Linked DNA regions of Drosophila melanogaster. The protein of the gene in region 1 interacts with the protein of each later gene in a pairwise test. Each region holds a gene or a part of one and is shown on either strand. Other genes may lie near its edges.

Region 1 (4,009 bases):
TGTTTTTGATCAAATGTTTTGAATATATCGAGATACTAAACGTTCGTTACTTCTTTCTCCACCAGGCTGCACACAAGTCGTTCAGAATAAAGCAGAAGCTGGCTAAGAAGCTGAAGCAGAACAGATCCGTTCCCCAATGGGTTCGCCTACGTACTGGCAACACTATTCGGTAAGTTCGGTGTTGGTTTTCCATTTAAATGTTTAGTATTGCAGTGGCAAAAGTTTTGTAAGGGCAAAGTATCCCAACGCAAGTGCGTTTAATTGTTGAGTGTACTGTCACTACCTTATTTTTAATATTCTTAATAACATAAAGATCATTGGTGCAACATAATCTTATTCTAATATTAACTTCAACTTTCCGCTTTTTCTTTCAGTTACAACGCTAAGCGCCGTCACTGGAGGCGTACCAAGTTGAAGCTGTAAGCTGTTGATTCCAGGAGTTCCGCAATTTTGTGGAATGCTGAAGATCTTTTCGAGAATATGAAATAATAAATTCGTCTACAATTTGCGGATTAAATATACTCTCTTTTTATTTGTATCTTGGGAAAGGGGTGGCATACATGCATTCGTAAATGCAACGCAGGAAACCCAGGCGGAAAATGTGACCGAAAGCATTCTCCAGTAACGAAAACTGAACACTTTCTTATCAAGCATGTGCTTTTTGCGGGGCATGTGCGAATTGTTTACTTCTCATTTAATGGAAAGACCTTCCAAATATATAATTGTTTTAACAATGCAAGAGTTCTGCACATTGTTTTCTGCCTAATAGGAATTCAACTGTTAAACCGAACTAAGAAAGATTTTCCTATTGCGTTGCTTAATTGGCAAATCTACTCTGCTGAATTGATGCAATATTATGCACTTCTAGTTTTCCTCTTGTTTAACATTTAGCTAGCCTATCTGAAATCGCATTCACGGCCGCATTGAGCTCGAAAGTAAAATTCTGTCCGATTGGGTCAATTATTACAGACTGTATCGCGTACAATTTATTAATTCTGTTTAAAAAACTGTTTATTCCGCGGGGACTTCAATGGAGCCCTCGTTCAGTTCGTCAATAACATCGTGAGGGTGCTTTCCGTCAACGGTGCAGCCGACGCTCTGGGCGGTTCCCAGAACTTCCTTGCAGGTTCCCTTCAACTCACGGGCCATGGACCTGGGCCTCATCACGCGGGCGATGGCCAGAATGTCTTCGAAGCCAATGTTTCCACTGTGCTTGACTGTAAATTAAGAATATCTGCTGTTAATCGGGGGATCAAGCACAGAACCATCCAGTGCATGTGGGCACAGTGCGGTGGAAGCAAAGCTCCTCATTATCCACCACAGCCCGGCACAGGCATTGGAAGTCCAGTCCAGGATTGCCGGGCAATACTCACTGTTCTTCTGCTTCTTGCGGTCACGTGGGGGTTCCTTCAGAGCCTTGATGATCAGCGAGGCGGCGGAGGGAACCACGGAGATGGCGGCCTGTCGGTTCTGGATGGTCAGGCAGACGGTGATCTTCAGACCCTTCCAGTCGGAGGTGGCCTTGGCGATGTCATCACCGATTTTCTTGGGCGACTACAGAGAGACACTTTTGTTAGCGCGAATTGCACAAGTAAACAAACCGATTTGCATGCTTACCAGACCGAGGGGACCGATCTTTGGGGCCAGGGAGGATGTGGCACCGACTTCTCCGCCCACGCAACGCAGGTACACTGTAATTTGGGTGCAGAAATTCGTTATTGAAGATAATCCTCTATTATAAACTACGGTTTGCTCGAAGCTCAACTCCTCACAAAAACACTCGCTTACTTACCCAATTTAACTTCCGTTGGGTCGAATTTGGGAGGCATAGCGGTATCTTGGCTTGAACAGTCGCTGTAAGGCAAAGATTACGTTAGTTTTCGCCGATTTTATTTGAGACATTTTCAGCTCATGTACTTTACCGCAAAAAAGACACACAGAAAAAGAAAGAAGAAGCTATCGATTTCCGGGAGGACCGTTTGCAAGTGATGTATCGCCCAGTGCTATCGGAATAAAAAGTGTCTCGAATGGAACGCGGAATTGAAACGAGTGTAATGAGTTTATATTTTTATTTATTCTTAATTTGAAATTAGGCTTTAAGAAATCTTTTTTTTTTGTTGAAAATGTTAAATACTAGTTGATATATTTTAAGTTTAATTAAAATTCAGATTTACATTTTTTTAACTACATTTCATAGCGGTCGTTGTAAATATTTTTATCTTCTTGTTAGTTCAGTTAGTTCAATTTTGTTAGTTCAATCTAATATTTATTTATGATTATGCAAGTAATTTATATCTGCTAGCTGAAGAAATACTTATTTGAATTTTCTCTATCAACTTACTAAACCGATTTACAAGACAATTGGTATATCGATTGATTGGCATTTGGCTTAAAAAATTATCGATTATTCTTCTAATCTTACAACTTATGAAAATTGTTTTTATTGTTTTTGTACTTTTACTTGACCTTTCCGAAAGTCGGTACATCAATGTTGAAATGTTATTTAACAACGGCATTTAAACCGTACATATGTACATGTACATACATAAATTGGTACTATACGAAATTCCGACCTGCCTCAAACAATATGCCTCCTCCATTCTCTATATCCGAGTACCTTATCTTTTTCAGGATACACTACACTTTTAAATGGGGTGTAGCAAAGCTCAGTAGCGTTGTCAATAATACAAGTTCATCTTGTACCCATTCAAAACCGGTAGCGTCACCCCATCTGGTTCCCGCCGTTTACCATCACAATGCTAAGTGACGCCATTCATTCGTGCGTCCAGACCAACATTTTGTTTACTTTTCCCATTTAGCTGTGCGAATTAGAATAAAGTTTGCTGAAATAAAGAGCTTAAACCCAATGAAAAACAGGAGAATCATAGTTTTACGGATGACGTTTAGGTAAAAAATTTTATTGGCAAACGTGTATCTTGTTACTTAGTTATTCAAACATGATGCTTCGAGTTTCTGTTATATTAATTACAATCGTTAGAACCAGATTTAAGATGTAGAGCCAACTAGCCTATAACAGCATCTTTGAATAAATTTGTTTCAGATGTAAATGCAACAGAAATTTACAGCGACACATTTTGCCTATTTGTCCAGAGCAGTATTGGTTTTAATTGCGATAACGCACTCCTCTCCGCACGCCTTGAGAACGGTGCACTGAAAAAGTATAATTAAATTATTCTCTGCGAAATAATAATATGGTGTCGAGGCAAACTCACCAGTAAGTCCTTGCCACTATCAAAATCTAAACGCAATTGTTCACCCAATTCGCCCTCTGGAACCTTCAAGTCTTCACGCAGATCTCCGCTCTCGGTCATCAATGTAAGGAAGCTATCGTCACTAATAGCAATCAACTGAAGGTCCTCCCTTTTGACATTGGGCACATCCATGTTATGAGTAGATGGGCAAATATCTTCATATCTGCAAAGACGACGATAGACAAAGCAGGCGTTAAGTAAGAGGATCTGGATTTGGCTTGAGGTGGCGTCGCCGCGTTGAACTCTAATTTTCCTCCATAAATTTATTGATAACTTTGGTCCAAGATAAGATTGCTTGCGCACACTTTTCGTTGATTACATTCAAGAGCAGCGCGTCGCTTCCTTTGTGTTCTCCGCAAATGCTGCTGCCACCAGATAGGAAGAAATATGCGAATATACTCACTTCTTGTTAGAGAAAATATCAATGCCAACCATATGAACCTTGGCGTGTCCGTGCTTTCCAGTCTTTGAAGTAGACATCTCGACAATCTTGCATGGCCGCGACTTCAGCATGACGAATCCGTTTTTGCGCAATGCCGAACATTGCATGGGATAGGTCGTCGATGCGCCGGAATCCGTGGTCTCGAATTGATCGTCCAACTCAGCCATATCTGCCGCACAAGACACAAGATGTGATTGAATTAATTATTTATCTATTTAATTAACTGCCGATTAATTGGGATTTGAATGCATTTACACTTAGGCACAAAGACACTAGCTGGTGTTGAAAGCACATT
Region 2 (4,048 bases), on another chromosome or scaffold:
ATTCACGAAAATCGAAATCTTGGTAAGGGAGTATGGCGAGTCTGGAGTTTGCTTTCCCTTTGCCTTTCTCATAAGGGAACTGGAAGTTAAAGCCTGCCAACTGCGATTTCCCGAGGGCATAGTGCCGGAAAAACTGGTGAGTATGAATTTGGACATTGAACTGCTCCTGGAATACTATTCGAGGTACGTATTGAAGGGTTTTCGCAGAGATAAAATTGTTTAAAGGCTAAACTTTTAAAAACTTTCAGAATGATTTCAATGAACGAACGAGTGTGGGCCAACGAGGGTAATGAGTGGCATTTAATACAATCCGTCATACGAGTGGTCTCGCTTCTGGCAGACAACGCACAATCTATTTGGTACCGGTCAAAGTAAGTGCAAAAGTAAAATGCTAGCCGATACGATTTACTTACATTCACATTTAACTTGCAGACGACGAATTGTTGGCAAGGCTCAAGACATAGTGGCCGGCTGCCTGAATATTTGCTACCAAAAGCCCGACACTAATCGTCTTCAACATTCACTCAAGGAACTTCAGAGTCAGCTGCAGCGGTTGTTGATTTAAAGCCGTCGGCCTGCGTTATTTTAATTAAATTTTTGAAAGTGCTGGACTAGACGTTAAGTTTGACTGAGATATATATTGTATTTGTATTAAACATGTTAAATAAATTGATTTCCCCACAGATCGTTGTTCGGATTCCGAGATGGCATGTAACTCATGAGGTGTCCATCATTTTTAGATGAGCTTCCGTCAGAATGCACTTCGTCATGTGACAGGAGCAAGGCACTGGATGCTCCTCTGTGTTGGGGTCTAGCAAATCCACCTCCAGATTGTATTTACGCATATCGGCAGCACTGCGCTTCATTGTGATTTGAAATGCAATGGGTGACTTCTCCTCCAGATTTTCGCAGGATTCCTCGGGCAGGACGACTACACACTGCTTCCAATGCGTTGGCGGGGATAGCGGCGATGTGCTTAGAACAAAATCTTCGCCAGGAAACTGTACATCGAACCAAATGCAGAAGCCCTGGTGATTGCCCGCCTTCTGGGCTGTTATTACCTCCTTGAACTGAATGCTGTCCAAATCGCTGGCTTCCACATCCAGCAGATTCATCCAGTGAAAGACGACGCCCTCGTGCAGAAGATCTTGCGGATTCAGCTGTGTAATCTCCGGTCGGGATGACTTTTGGGTTCTGAGTTTTCTGGCAAACGTGTCCATTTTGATGCCGTCCACGTTGTGCCAATCATCGAAGAGCGATGGTACCGAGCAGGGTGCCACGAAAATTGTGCACTCGCTGGGGAACAGGAGTCCACCCTCCTTGAGGAACTTGTCCCGGGCCAGGAGAACCGAGTCCAACATGCCCTCGTGCAGCAGGTAGAAGCCCATCCACTCGGACACAATGATGTCCACCTTTTCCGCCTCGGCAGGCAGTACGAATTCCTCAACACGCGACTGGATCACCTTCACCACGTTCGTCAGGCCGTTATCCTCAATCAAATCCAGCGCAACTTTGGTGGCCACATTGGATGCTTCTACGGCGTAGACCAAACGGGCTCCTGCTTTCGCACAAAAGGCGGACAGAATCCCTGTGCCGGCACCAACATCCATTACGATCTTGTCCTTGAACAGATCCTTATTCCCCAATATCGCATTGTAGTAGGCTTCTTGCCGAGGACGATCCTTCAGCATGAGCTCGTGGATCTGTAGTTTGGTCACTATGAGTACAGTTTCACAAGAAGATCTATAATCTTATTTACCTCCAAGTTTTCATACTCATCGAAATAAGTGTTCGCCATGATTTAAAGTTGCAGTTATCAACACATTAACATTAACGCATCAAGTGAATTTTTCAAAACAACGTGCTAAATAGAGGTGTGTTAATCAACTACAATAGTATCGATATATCGATAGGGTTGCTTATCAGGGTTGGTTGTGATTGGTCGTTTTACTTAATAAAATCAATTTGATTTATTTATTAATGCCTAAATTATTGTTTTATTTATTATTTGTTTAATTAAACTCAAGGCATAGTTGTATATATGTTTTTTAGAAATGCAAAGCTGACTTAAGATTTTTTGGTAGATTTTCGGCGATTTGTACTTTTGGTATCTTGCAACACTGGAAGTCCGCCAATTTTCCGACGCTGTGTTAAACCGCGTTATTTTCAGACCAGAATTCTGCAAGTAAGCTGAAAAAAGTCTCTGTACTTTCGAAGCATTCCTGTAATAACTCAATTTGCTCCAAATGCCATCAACCGATTTCGCCGACATTCCAGCTGCCAAGAAGATGAAGATCGACACGTGCGTCCTGCGATTCGCCAAACTCACCGAGAATGCTTTGGAGCCGGTGAGGGGATCCGCCAAAGCGGCGGGAGTTGACCTGCGCAGCGCCTACGACGTTGTGGTGCCGGCACGCGGAAAGGCCATTGTCAAGACCGATCTGCAAGTGCAGGTTCCGGAGGGCTCCTACGGACGCGTAGCCCCACGATCCGGGCTGGCGGTGAAGAACTTCATTGATGTGGGCGCCGGTGTGGTGGACGAGGATTATCGCGGCAATCTCGGCGTCGTCCTGTTCAATCACTCAGATGTTGATTTCGAGGTGAAGCATGGCGACCGCATCGCCCAGTTCATTTGCGAGCGTATCTTCTATCCGCAACTGGTGATGGTGGACAAACTGGAGGACACCGAGCGCGGCGAGGCAGGATTCGGTTCCACCGGAGTCAAGGATCTGCCGGCAGCCAAGGCGCAGAACGGCAACGGAGAAAAGGCTGCCGAACCGGAGGGAGCTGCTCCGGCTCCTGTTGCTACGTAAACGAGGAACTATTGCCGCATTCTTAATCCCTTCATGGTCACTATCAAAGAGTTTCATTCTGTATCCTTAAGTGAAATATGTTAATGTATTGGTATATTTTTATCTATTAAAACCGCAAATCTACGAAGAAATGTTTCCCATAGTGTCATTAGATTGACTGGTGGATGGTGGATCACTAGATTTCCTGGATATGCATTGCATACTTTTGGCATGTTATTTCTAAAAGGCTTTTATTTTTCTTTATTTAAAAAATTTGTGTTAGGTTTTTCAGGCAGCTTAAACAATTATTCCTCACTTATGAGGTAACTGGTAAATAACTTATATCCTTTGAATACTTTTTTATGCACGCAATTTCTGAGCTAAATATTTATATCGATTTTCATCAAGCCAACCAATTTTAACTAAATGTCTTTACTAAGGACCTTTTACTAAAATGTATCAGGAGTAATGTTATCGAAACATACATAAATTATTTACAATTCATTTCCATATTTAGGCAATGAATGGGATGTGTCTTCATTTTGGCTTTTTCAAAAAATTGCACTGACCATCCATCCAGAATTATGGATCTAGTTTAAGGTTAATATACATACATATGTACAGCTGTAACTTGTATTGCATATTTAAGTAGGCATGAAGGGCCGCGAAAGGTTAACGCTTGGTGCTAACTATATTCTAGTAACTAGAAGTACTTACTTCCAACGGAGTATGTATACAAACCGCTTTAGATCTTCATAAAAAAGGAGTTTGCTGAACAGAAGTCGAGCAATTATGTTTCTGCAAGAGGAAGCCGACTTGGCTTTATGGGTTTTCAAGTGGCTAGGGATACTTGAACCAACCGGACAGGCGCAGTGAGTTATGACCGAGTAATGAGAGCCAAGAAGCGCCAACCGGCGATGGCCCACAATATCAGTTTGCGTGTCTCAAGTGCATTGCTGCACAATTTACGCGGCCGATTTTAATAAATTCAATGACTCCAATTTGTAATTAGACGCTGGAAGGTGCGCTGCGTGCTTTTAATTGTTTTGCAGCCATCCTTGGTTGCCTTTTGGCGCAACGGTTCCGCTTGACCCGCGACGCATCGAGCGCTCCGGAGGTCAGCCGCGTGCCCATAACGCCCCAGTTGGAGGCATTCGCCGCCCACCGATCTGCACTGTGCAACATTCAACCAACTTGCAGTGAGAGTTGCGTTTGGGTTTGTATGATAACTGGTATAATTTATTTGCTTCAGCTTG

What was found.
Region 2: the proteins of RpL12 (region 1) and Art8 interact in a two-hybrid assay, tested with the Drosophila melanogaster proteins (2 studies listed by BioGRID).

Annotation. Positions count from the first base shown.
Region 1 is NT_033778.4:24,058,358-24,062,366, reverse strand, and holds RpL12 (ribosomal protein L12), read right to left. Parts: upstream 1,990-4,009; 5' UTR 1,923-1,989; intron 1,914-1,922; exon of another isoform or gene 1,855-1,913; 5' UTR 1,830-1,854; coding exon 1,793-1,829; intron 1,692-1,792; coding exon 1,618-1,691; intron 1,555-1,617; coding exon 1,374-1,554; intron 1,218-1,373; coding exon 1,012-1,217; 3' UTR 507-1,011; downstream 1-506. Other genes in the region: RpL39 (ribosomal protein L39), read left to right, coding at 66-169, 375-423; eEF5 (eukaryotic translation elongation factor 5), read right to left, coding at 3,100-3,171, 3,234-3,435, 3,676-3,881.
Region 2 is NT_033779.5:11,009,195-11,013,242, forward strand, and holds Art8 (arginine methyltransferase 8), read right to left. Parts: upstream 1,893-4,048; 5' UTR 1,799-1,892; coding exon 1,760-1,798; intron 1,728-1,759; exon of another isoform or gene 1,704-1,727; coding exon 717-1,703; 3' UTR 627-716; downstream 1-626. Other genes in the region: Nup154 (nucleoporin 154kD), read left to right, coding at 1-183, 249-371, 433-565; dUTPase (deoxyuridine triphosphatase), read left to right, coding at 2,247-2,813.